Linked DNA regions of Arabidopsis thaliana. The protein of the gene in region 2 interacts with the protein of the main gene of each other region in a pairwise test. Each region holds a gene or a part of one and is shown on either strand. Other genes may lie near its edges.

Region 1 (4,254 bases), on a different chromosome or scaffold from region 2:
TTATAAGTGGACATTGTGCAATATGGTTGTGAATAACAACTGGAAAGATTCCGAGTTTTCAATGTTGCCGATATACAAGGAACTCACTGCCGCTGGTTTGAGGATCTGGGTCTTTAGGTAAACCATGAAACTAGCTGCAAGTAAAGTACCTTTCGTGTCCTTTAACCACATTTTGTTGATGTAGTGGCGATACAGACGCAGTGGTTCCAGTGACTGGGACTCGACTTGCCCTCAGTAAACTCAATCTTCCGGTGAAAACTCCCTGGTACCCTTGGTACTCCGAAAAGCAGGTAATTTTCATCAAATTCGTGGTTCTATTCTTATTATGCAGAGCTAGTGATTTCTCATGGTGGTGGTGTCAGGTGGGAGGATGGACAGAGGTATATGAGGGGCTTACCTTTGCGACGATAAGAGGGGCGGGCCACGAAGTGCCGGTGTTGCAACCCGAGCGTGCTCTCACTCTTTTAAGATCGTTCTTGGCCGGCAAAGAGCTTCCAAGATCTTATTAGTCACACACATAAGATAGAAGGCTCCCTCCAAAACCCGAGTTAACTCGGTGTTTTCTTTTGAAATTTTTATGTTTCAAATCAACTTGATTTCATAAGACACTAAAAGCATTCTTGTATTCGAAGAAGATATATGTTGATACTAGAACAATTGTGTTGATACCTTGGGAATAAAATTGCAGAAAACCAAAAGTTTCAAATCTTTTATATATAATTCCATAAGAGTAGAGTACAAAGCTCTTTGCTTCTGCCTGACTGATATACAAACAAACAAAAAAAGCCGAACCTCTCATACCTGAAAGTTGAAATGAAACAACAAAAACAGCTTCTTACTTCATTCCTTCGCTGAGACCCGGTGGCATTCCTAAGCTCTGCGCAAGGTCACTCATTCTCTCTTTCATAGCCTGTGAAAAAATTCACAAAGTTCAATTAGAAGAAATGGATAGAAACAAATACTTTAGTTGCATTGTGATAAATGGTCTGCAAATTGCTATACCACCACACTCTTGGCGTGTGCGTCCTTGTATGCTTCTGTGACAAGTTGTGATAGTTTCTGCCAAAGGAAAACACACAACATCAACAAGAGAAACTGATGAATTAGCTTTGACTGTTCCATAACAAGGTACGTATGGTTACTCACTTCGGAACCTAGTTCCATTGCTGCCTCGGTAATATCAGTACGGATTGGTTGCTGGTTACCTGATAACGTAACCTGACACAAATTCATAAGGTTTAGGTCATCAGACTTTGTAACAGAAACAATAAAGACTAAACAAAGTTTTGAGATTCTAGAGTGGAGTTCTTGCCAAATCATCCAAAGACTAACAAATCAGAAAACACAGTTCTTACATCATCAAGTAAACGTTAGTTAATACTTCACTGATCTATTATGTGCATTGATCTATCTTAAGGCCAAAACAAGCTCTAAACTGACCTTGACAAGCTCGCCTGCACAATAACCATCAAATTCTGCGCTGCGAAATTGGAACAAAACCAACATGCAAAACTCATTACTCATAGAAGAAAACTTCCTCAAATTTTGTATGATAAATGTGCCGGACTTACGCAGCTAACTCTTTTTGAACACGTACAGCTTCCACTTGAACAACCATTTGAGCTTTCTTCACAGTCTCATACATATTCTGCATATTACCAAATATTCCTGCCTAGGAAAGATCACACACAAACTTCATTAGTTCCAAAATCATAAACTTTGAATCTTTACAACATGAAGCCTAACTTAAAATGTTCACCTATTGCAGAATCTGTTTGATATTTGAAAAAACCAATGTAATGTACCAACCTTTGATTGTCCATCTTCACTGTTATTATCTTTGTTTCCACCTCCAAATAATCCATTCACTCGAAGAGACCTGTAACCATTTTTAGACTTGTACTGCTTTGGCCATGTTCTTCTCTGCGAATTCAAGCTCGCATTTCCTGAAACTATTCAAACCAAAAAATTACTAAAGCCCATTTCAATCCCAAAAACACTTATAAATACAAAATTACGCTTCAATTCCTCCAATTATGGAATAGAAAAGTCTAATTACGAAAGATTAAGCAAATTCAGATGAAACCTAATGTACGACAGATACATAAAGACTCAAAATCCAGTGTCACGAAACCTTAAGCGAGAGATAGAAGTAGGGATTTAGGAGAGACTAACCATGAGAGAATGGAAAGAGCATAGATTTGGTGAAATTGGTGGTTGCAGCCATCGACGCCATTGTTGTACGAGTAGAGAGATATTAGAGAAGGGCTTTTTTTCTGAAATTCGAGAAGATAAAACCGGAAGCTAATTTTTTCCGGGCAACTTGTTCGTAGCTTCTGTGTTTGTTGAAGCTTTTAACCAATGATTTTGCGCCACGTCACTTTAACTCTTTTTTTGAGCTTAGATTGTTTTTGTACCATTCTTTTCTAGTGAAGAAGTCGCAACTTTAAAGTTTATACACTTTCAGTACGAAATTGAGTGATCAAACGTAAAATGTTCTTACATCAGATATTGATTCGATTTTCGAAAAATTCAATTTCTAGTATAGATGAAACTTTATCAGAGATTGTAACATGCTTCATTAAACCAAAAAAAAAAAAAAACATGCTACAATAGAACCATCTTTCGTGGTTCTATGTATGGGACATGGTCATATGTGTTGTGGTCTTGTGGAGCTGTATTGCGAGAAGAACTATTGATTGATTGTGGAGTTGTCTATATACCCTCTATGTATAGAGAGACTCACCCCAAACATTTGAAATACCTCTAGGCAAACCATTTTGGGCCTCTCCTGAAAGAAGACATTTATCATCGTATCATGTCCAAACAAACATACTCTGCTTGTACAGTTGTAAGTTTGTAAAACATATGATAAAAGCATAAGACAACACACACTCCAAAATGCAATCATGATCTATACACTTATTCTGGTCTCTCTAATGGCATTGGTTATTATTCTCATGATTCTCAATCTCACAACAAAAAAAACATCATGCAAATCTCCTACTGTCACATTGCATAAGAAAAAATAAAAATAAATTCATGAATTCAATCTCTGATTCCTCATGGTATATTGTCATGACCTAACAAAGGTTTTTTTGGTAAAAAAAGTTGATATAAAATAATCTAACAAAGTTACAAAGAATCTTCTATGACTTCTCCAAGCAATGAACCTTACCTTGTGTATCATCCATTGCTAGAGATACTGATTCTTTCTGTCCTGGATCAGCATTCAGAGATCTCACTGGGACTGTAATGAGTTTATTCTGCTGTTTCTCAAGCAAAGCCATGTGTTTTTTCCCAAGCGTATGATTCCTCATCGTCTGCTCAGAATTCGTCTGAATATTACAAGTTTTGCACCAAACCGTTTCCTTCTTTTTCTTCTCACCTTTTGTCTTCTTTCCCGTTGTTTCTTTCGCCGCAATTTCATCTACTTTTTGACCCTGCGGATTAGCATTTTCACATACTCTAATGGCTTCTGGTTGCGGTGCTGTAACGGAAGCAGGGGATAAGGAGGTTGAAGCAGCTTCAGGTGTCTCATTCTGTTGTGTAACAGCAGCCTTATGCTTTTTACCTAACTCATGATCCCTCATGACTATTTGACAATAGGTCCCAACTTTACAAATCTCACACCAAAACTTCTGGTTAGTTCTTAGCTTACCTTCTGCTTTCTTTCCACTGCCAAGTTTCCCTGAACAAGGAACCTTCGAAGAGACTATTTCTCCGGTTTCCAAAGACATCGCCTTTGCTTCTGATTCTTTTGCTTTCGGCCTTTTCACTTGAAGATCTTCGTTCAAACCAGTTTGAATATCCTCTGCTTTACGCTTTTCTCCTACAGGATCAGCTCTAGCCTGCAATAGTAATCAAAGAGAACACATATGGTCAGGATTTGTTATAAGCAAGTAAGGAAAGTACGTGGATAGAAAAGATGAGATATCACACTCGTAGTAAAACACTTACCAATACAATAAACTGCTCTTTGTTAGACTCCAAAACTGATGTTCCTGTAGCCTCAGGCATTTGCTGAAGTTTAGGCAATTGCATGGTACCAACACTGTCTGCTTTAGGCTTAGCTCCTATAATATCAGCTCTATTCTGCAATAGAGAAATCAAAGAGAACACATATGAAACAAAGGCTTATATATACTCTATCATTTATGTTTACCATTACTTAAAGAACTCACCAATACAATCAAATTCTCTTTATTAGACTCCAACATTGATGTTCCGGTAGCTTCAGACATTTGCTGAAGT
Region 2 (5,588 bases):
TTCTTTTCTTAAAGTTTTGCTGTTTGGAGTTTGGCTCACCAAGTTTCATTTTCTTGTTCAGAGAAAGTCCAAGGCTGTGGCTCCTCCTGTAGAGGAACCAAAATTTAGCTGTCCAATCTGTCTGTGTCCATTTACTCAGGAGGTTTCAACGAAATGTGGTCATATTTTCTGCAAAAAGTGCATAAAGAATGCGTTATCCCTCCAAGCTAAATGCCCGACATGTAGGAAAAAAATCACTGTTAAGGACCTTATCCGGGTCTTCCTTCCAACCACCAGATGAATGATACAGAAACATCACTAGTAGCCATGTAAGTCTAGCTAATGAGATTTGTTTTTTTCTGCTGAATTCTAAAAATTGCGCCGTTCAGATCCTTTTCTTTCTCTTCTCTTGCAGGGATAGTGGTCTAGCGATTCTACCTCCAACGATGAAGAAATGTTGTTCATTAGTTGTAGTTTGTTATGTCAATATTGTTCTGTTTTGTAAGAGAAATATCTAGGAATTATGGAAGACCTGATTTTCTAATGGATATCGTTCATTGGTGATCTTCATTATTTGAGTAGTTCCTTATTGCTTAGTGATTGTTGAGATATTTTAGGAGATATTGTTGAATCTTAAGAAAAAGCATTCTACATCATAACTCATAAGCCTCTGTATGCATGTTCTCTCTCAAGTTCACTAGAAGGCAGTAATGGCATCTGCACATTTTTCTGTTGGTCCACAGTTACCTCTTATGAAAAGATTATTCTTTTGGTATCATTCCCATGAAATCATTGCTGTGCAGATCAAAGAACACATCCAACAGTCATGGCCCAATCTATGTTCTGATAGCAAAAACGAAAATACTTTTTTACTTCCAGGAACTCAAAATCAATGATTGCTTTAAGGGCTTAAACCCGATCGATTCAAGATTCTATGTTTCCTATTTGTTGTTTTCTTCAATATGTCTGCACAAGAGTTAAAATAAAATTGGTTATACAAGAATGAGAGATATCGAAATCTAAACAAAGATGTCTCTCTTTCTATGAAGGTGGCTCTTTCTCCGGTCTGTATCGACCTTAGAACGCCCATCTTGGTGAAGAACTAACAGCTCTAGGTCTAGGTACCGGTTTGATAATCTGTTGCTCTGAACTATTAATCCTTTTCTTCATGATAGATGAGACCGTTGGGCTGTAATAGTCATTACTCCTCTGTGACATTGCTCCTTGTGAATGCATCTTCTTCCCATGGACGAAGCTTCTCTGTTTCTCCAGCATTTCTCTTCTACCATTCAAACTCTTCTGAGGAGTTCCCCATCTGCTGGAGCTCACACAGCTTTGACTCCTTCCAACTCTCTCATGATGAAACTCGCTTTTTCTTGGAGGAGTTGGGTAGTTTCGGCTTTCTGCTGTTTCTGCAGAATACATTGTCTCTTCCTCGCTGCTGTATCCATGATTGTTATATACATAGTGAGCTGCTGCTGGCGGTGAACTTGAGATGACCTCACTGAGAGCACCATTTACTGAACCTGTCGAAGCAATCTGCGCATCTGATCCTTCAGAGACAATCTCAGCCTCTTCCACTATATGGTTACTCTGTAGAGAGTTGAGCTCAGGATGAAAGGTTATAGCTTTAGGTATCCGTGGAGGAAAGTTGATGTCCAAAAGGTGTACTTGAGCTGTCTCATTTCTTAGAGGACCAGAAGTCAACTTTGGCGATTCATATATCTCAGGGGTAGGGATACCCTGCGCATGAGTAGTAGTTCCGCAGACTTGTGGATTGGTTTTTGAGGTTTCTTCTTCTTTTTCTTCCTCAGCAGCGATAGAAGAGCTCGGATGAGTTTGATCTCTAGTGTTAGATGAAGATGGTGTTCCAACATCAGCAGAGTCGTTTGGCTTGAAAACACGGCGCATGGTGAATGAAGTACAAGAACGCTCACTCTTCTGACCAGAAGACATTAATCGAATGAGAGGCAACTTAGGTTTCGTCGTATGTTCATCCAAACTACCTTCCCAATGCTGATTCAGCCAGTCACATATTACTGGTATTGGTATACCAAACTGCATCATCAGTGTCTTGTTGTTATCTTTCTTCAAAGAAGAAGAGGAAGATGACGAGGTTGAGGTTGGTGATGTCGATAGTTTCCTCGGATCACAAATCATGAATGCAAGATTCCCTTGAACATCAAATCCAGCAGATCCAGGACTCCAAATCATTTCATCAGTTGAGAGTTTGATGAGATTGTCGGTAGCTACAACTAACTTTCCCTCGCCGATCTTGAGTTCATTCTGATTGGCATAGCCTAAGAGGTACACCACACTCCCTAGATCCAGGTTTGGTTTGGAACATGTCTTCAGGTAATGTGGTTGTTGTTGAAGTTGGCTCTGGGAACTTGAGTCTCCATCAACAAGGTCTAAGCCAACAATAGTGAGATCAATAACTGAACTCGTAATGAAAAACCTGCAAATGACACCATATAAAGATAACACTCATTTTCTGATAGCTAAAGAACAGAAAACACCATCATTGACCAAACAAATCCACAATTCAGATTGGTTCTTATTATGTTTGATGCAATCAAGACGTTTCCATTTTGGGAAATATCTGAACAAATGAATTTTCATGTTCCAATAATCACAAAATGATATATCAATGTTTTGGTTTAAAGTTTATGAAATTAAAATGAAAACTTACCAAATTCAGCTACAGATCCAGAATCATTACCATATAACATAAGTACAGTATAAAGCTCTTTTCTTTTAAGTTCTTTTGGTTTGACGAAAAGATATGGATTCATTTTTGAAAATTTGAACAAGAGCCAATTTTTTTGATGGCATTGCATCAAAATTTACCAGGATCGTGCAACCGACAACACAGGAAAATGAAAAATCAAATTTTGAATCAAACTCAAGAGAGAGTAAAGAGAGAGGTGGGACCTGTGAGGGAAGAGAGCAGCAGCGACACCGTTCTGAAGGCGGACCTCGGCGGTTTCGGTGGCGGAGATGGAAGGAAGATTGAGGTGAGTGGTCAGAAGAAGATTCCGGTGAATGAGGAATCCAGTTCCAGAAGTAACACCATTTGGTCCGGAGACAGAGATTCGAGCCATCGCCGGAGCTTTGCCGGTAAAAATGGAACCTTTCATCTTCTCGCTTTTGCCAACTCCTTTACAAAAGCACCATGAGTCCAATATCACTCCCATTGTCTCTCTATCTCTTGATTATGCTCTCAGATGGGTTTTGTGTCAAATTCCCTAATTTGGCAATCTGGGTTTTGGAGGAGAGTGTTTTGGATCTGAAAAGGATGGGAATTTAGGAGAGAAGTGTGAATTGGATGCGAGTTAGTAATAATGGGATTAGGGAGACACAACACATGTATGTGTCTGTGTCTGTTTGTGCTGTAAAAACATCAACTTTCTCCGGATTTGGTCTCGATGAAGACCCAAGAATGGGAGAAAACTCGAGAAGAGGTAAGTGAGAGAGAAACAAGAGACAGGGGAATCGTGAAATGAGTAAAGAGATGTGCTTCTTTAAGGAGCTAGCTGGGGACTTCTTCTTCTTCTTTTATCACTTTTATTTTTTTCTTTAATTCAAAAGAAAATGTATAAAGATTGGGGGAAATGTTTTCTTTATTTGGTTTAAGTGTGTCATTTTGTAAGAAGAAGCAAACAGAGGAAAAGTCTAGAGTGACAGAGAGGATCTTTGTACATGTGATGAACATGGATGGACTTTTTGCTTATTATGATTAGTGTTTTTTGCTTAACGTTTTCTTTGCTTGTCGATTTGTCTAATCATGGTTTCATTAACTTATATCTCTCTTTGTTATCAAATAGATTTGGTCATTTAACCAAATTGTAATGTATATGATTACCAGTTTTAACCATCTCGGCAAAAATGTAAAATTAAAACGACATTTCCATTTCAGAAATCTAGCTTATAATAAACTTGGAATAGTTACATGTTGTTAGATTGGTTCAGTTATGGTTGCAAGTCAATTTATTATCACTTATCAGCATTCAAGTCCAACTTTTTACTTCAAAACAAACAAAACTAGAAAATCCAATTCAATCAATTTTATTGGAGCATTTAAGTTAATCTCAAGTAGTTTAAACTTGAAAGAGTTGGATTCACAACTTATTGTATACACGAGAAAAAATGTAACAAACGATATTCCAAAAAAAAAAGTCAATTAAAGTGAACTTATCAGAATAACATTGTTCTTCATCATGTTTAAAACCCCAAAACAAAATCCAATTGCAAACACCGGTTTCTCAATGTACATCTCTCAAAAAAACATAGTAAACGACTGTACATAATGAAAATGGGAACTCTTTCTATGAACCATCGAAGACTCCAAGTATTCTATTACACTGGTTAGGGAGTTGAAAAGAAGTAAACCATAATGTGTCAAATCCGATCCAACATCAATTCCGTTAGCGCTTAAGAAGTCTTTTTGCATCTGCAATATCCTGCAATATAACAATAGCACCAAAACAAACTAGTACATAATCAACATTAACAACAGCTAGGAGCAAAAGCACTAGTCAAGAACTTAATTTAACCTTAATTAACAATTCGAGTTAACAAAGAAAGAAAAGAGTACTGAAAGTACCCGCTGCAGAAAAACTGCTTCTTTAGGAGAGGTAGGGAACTGCACTAAACCGATTCCAACAATTAATAGCAAAGGACACTACAACGTATATAGGTAGCTGGTGCAAAGATATACATTATTAATATTGACTAACTGAGAATAGCAATAAGCAAAAATGAGCACAACAGACTCATTACTAACCAACTATGTTTGGCTACGAGCCATAATTGCAGCCTGCAAGAGAGCAAACTAAAAGGCAGAGACAGCTACCAGCAGGCTCAAAATCTTGACCACATGCTTCATTGTCCTTGAAACAAAGTTTATGTAAGATTTGAGTATTGACAATATACCAGAAAAGAGGACTACACTAATGCATTTTCCGATTTCTTGCATATTTGGAGCTGACCATGAACGGGTGCCATTAAAGGATATCTATAGAAGTGAATTCCTTCAAATAACAAATTGCCAATTCTAAATCCATTACGCATAATTTCCACACATCTTAAGCAACTTATGTCCAGACCAGAATCTAGCATAGTCATGATAACTAAAAGAACAGTAAAATGCAACCCAAACCATCAAAATGGGAAAGGAAAAAAAAACGACTTTTCACATTTTCTTGGATCTCATAATACAAGCGGTCAGGAGCTCAAAGCCCTTTAAGCATAATTTGTAGAACCTGAATCTTAAAAAAAAAAAGAAACACAAATACATGATTTCCCACCGTTCCTCAGGATTTTAAACATTCTATAGTCAGATCCTCAGGAAATCAAAGCCATTACACAACACATTTCAGAACATTATAGGCTAAATGATTTGAAAACTTGAATCCTAAAATTCATTAAGCTGCCCCAAAACCAAGCTTCTACTAACAAAACAAACTACAATTAACCATCCGAATCAAACCATGCACCCAAAACTCGAATTGAAATTTGATATATCTAACAATGATTGAGCTGCCATCAGAATGAATTATTAGAAAATAATTTTGTCACGGTTCCTTCAGACCAGAGTAAACTCCAAT

What was found.
Region 1: the proteins of AT3G07210 (region 2) and AT2G24020 interact in a two-hybrid assay, tested with the Arabidopsis thaliana proteins (one large-scale study listed by BioGRID).

Annotation. Positions count from the first base shown.
Region 1 is NC_003071.7:10,217,034-10,221,287, forward strand, and holds AT2G24020 (Putative BCR, YbaB family COG0718), read right to left. Parts: upstream 2,436-4,254; 5' UTR 2,237-2,435; coding exon 2,176-2,236; intron 1,953-2,175; coding exon 1,810-1,952; intron 1,673-1,809; coding exon 1,572-1,672; intron 1,481-1,571; coding exon 1,441-1,480; intron 1,219-1,440; coding exon 1,147-1,218; intron 1,060-1,146; coding exon 1,003-1,059; intron 911-1,002; coding exon 836-910; 3' UTR 668-835; downstream 1-667. Other genes in the region: scpl23 (serine carboxypeptidase-like 23), read left to right, coding at 1-117, 185-290, 363-509; AT2G24030 (zinc ion binding / nucleic acid binding protein), read right to left, coding at 3,150-3,851, 3,961-4,095, 4,185-4,254. UniProt on the Arabidopsis thaliana protein: Participates with ALB4 in thylakoid protein targeting. May function with specific subset of thylakoidal proteins. Binds to DNA and alters its conformation. May be involved in regulation of gene expression, nucleoid organization and DNA protection.
Region 2 is NC_003074.8:2,291,944-2,297,531, forward strand, and holds AT3G07210 (uncharacterized protein), read right to left. Parts: upstream 3,738-5,588; 5' UTR 3,177-3,737; coding exon 2,914-3,176; intron 2,438-2,913; coding exon 1,057-2,437; 3' UTR 810-1,056; downstream 1-809. Other genes in the region: AT3G07200 (RING/U-box superfamily protein), read left to right, coding at 62-280.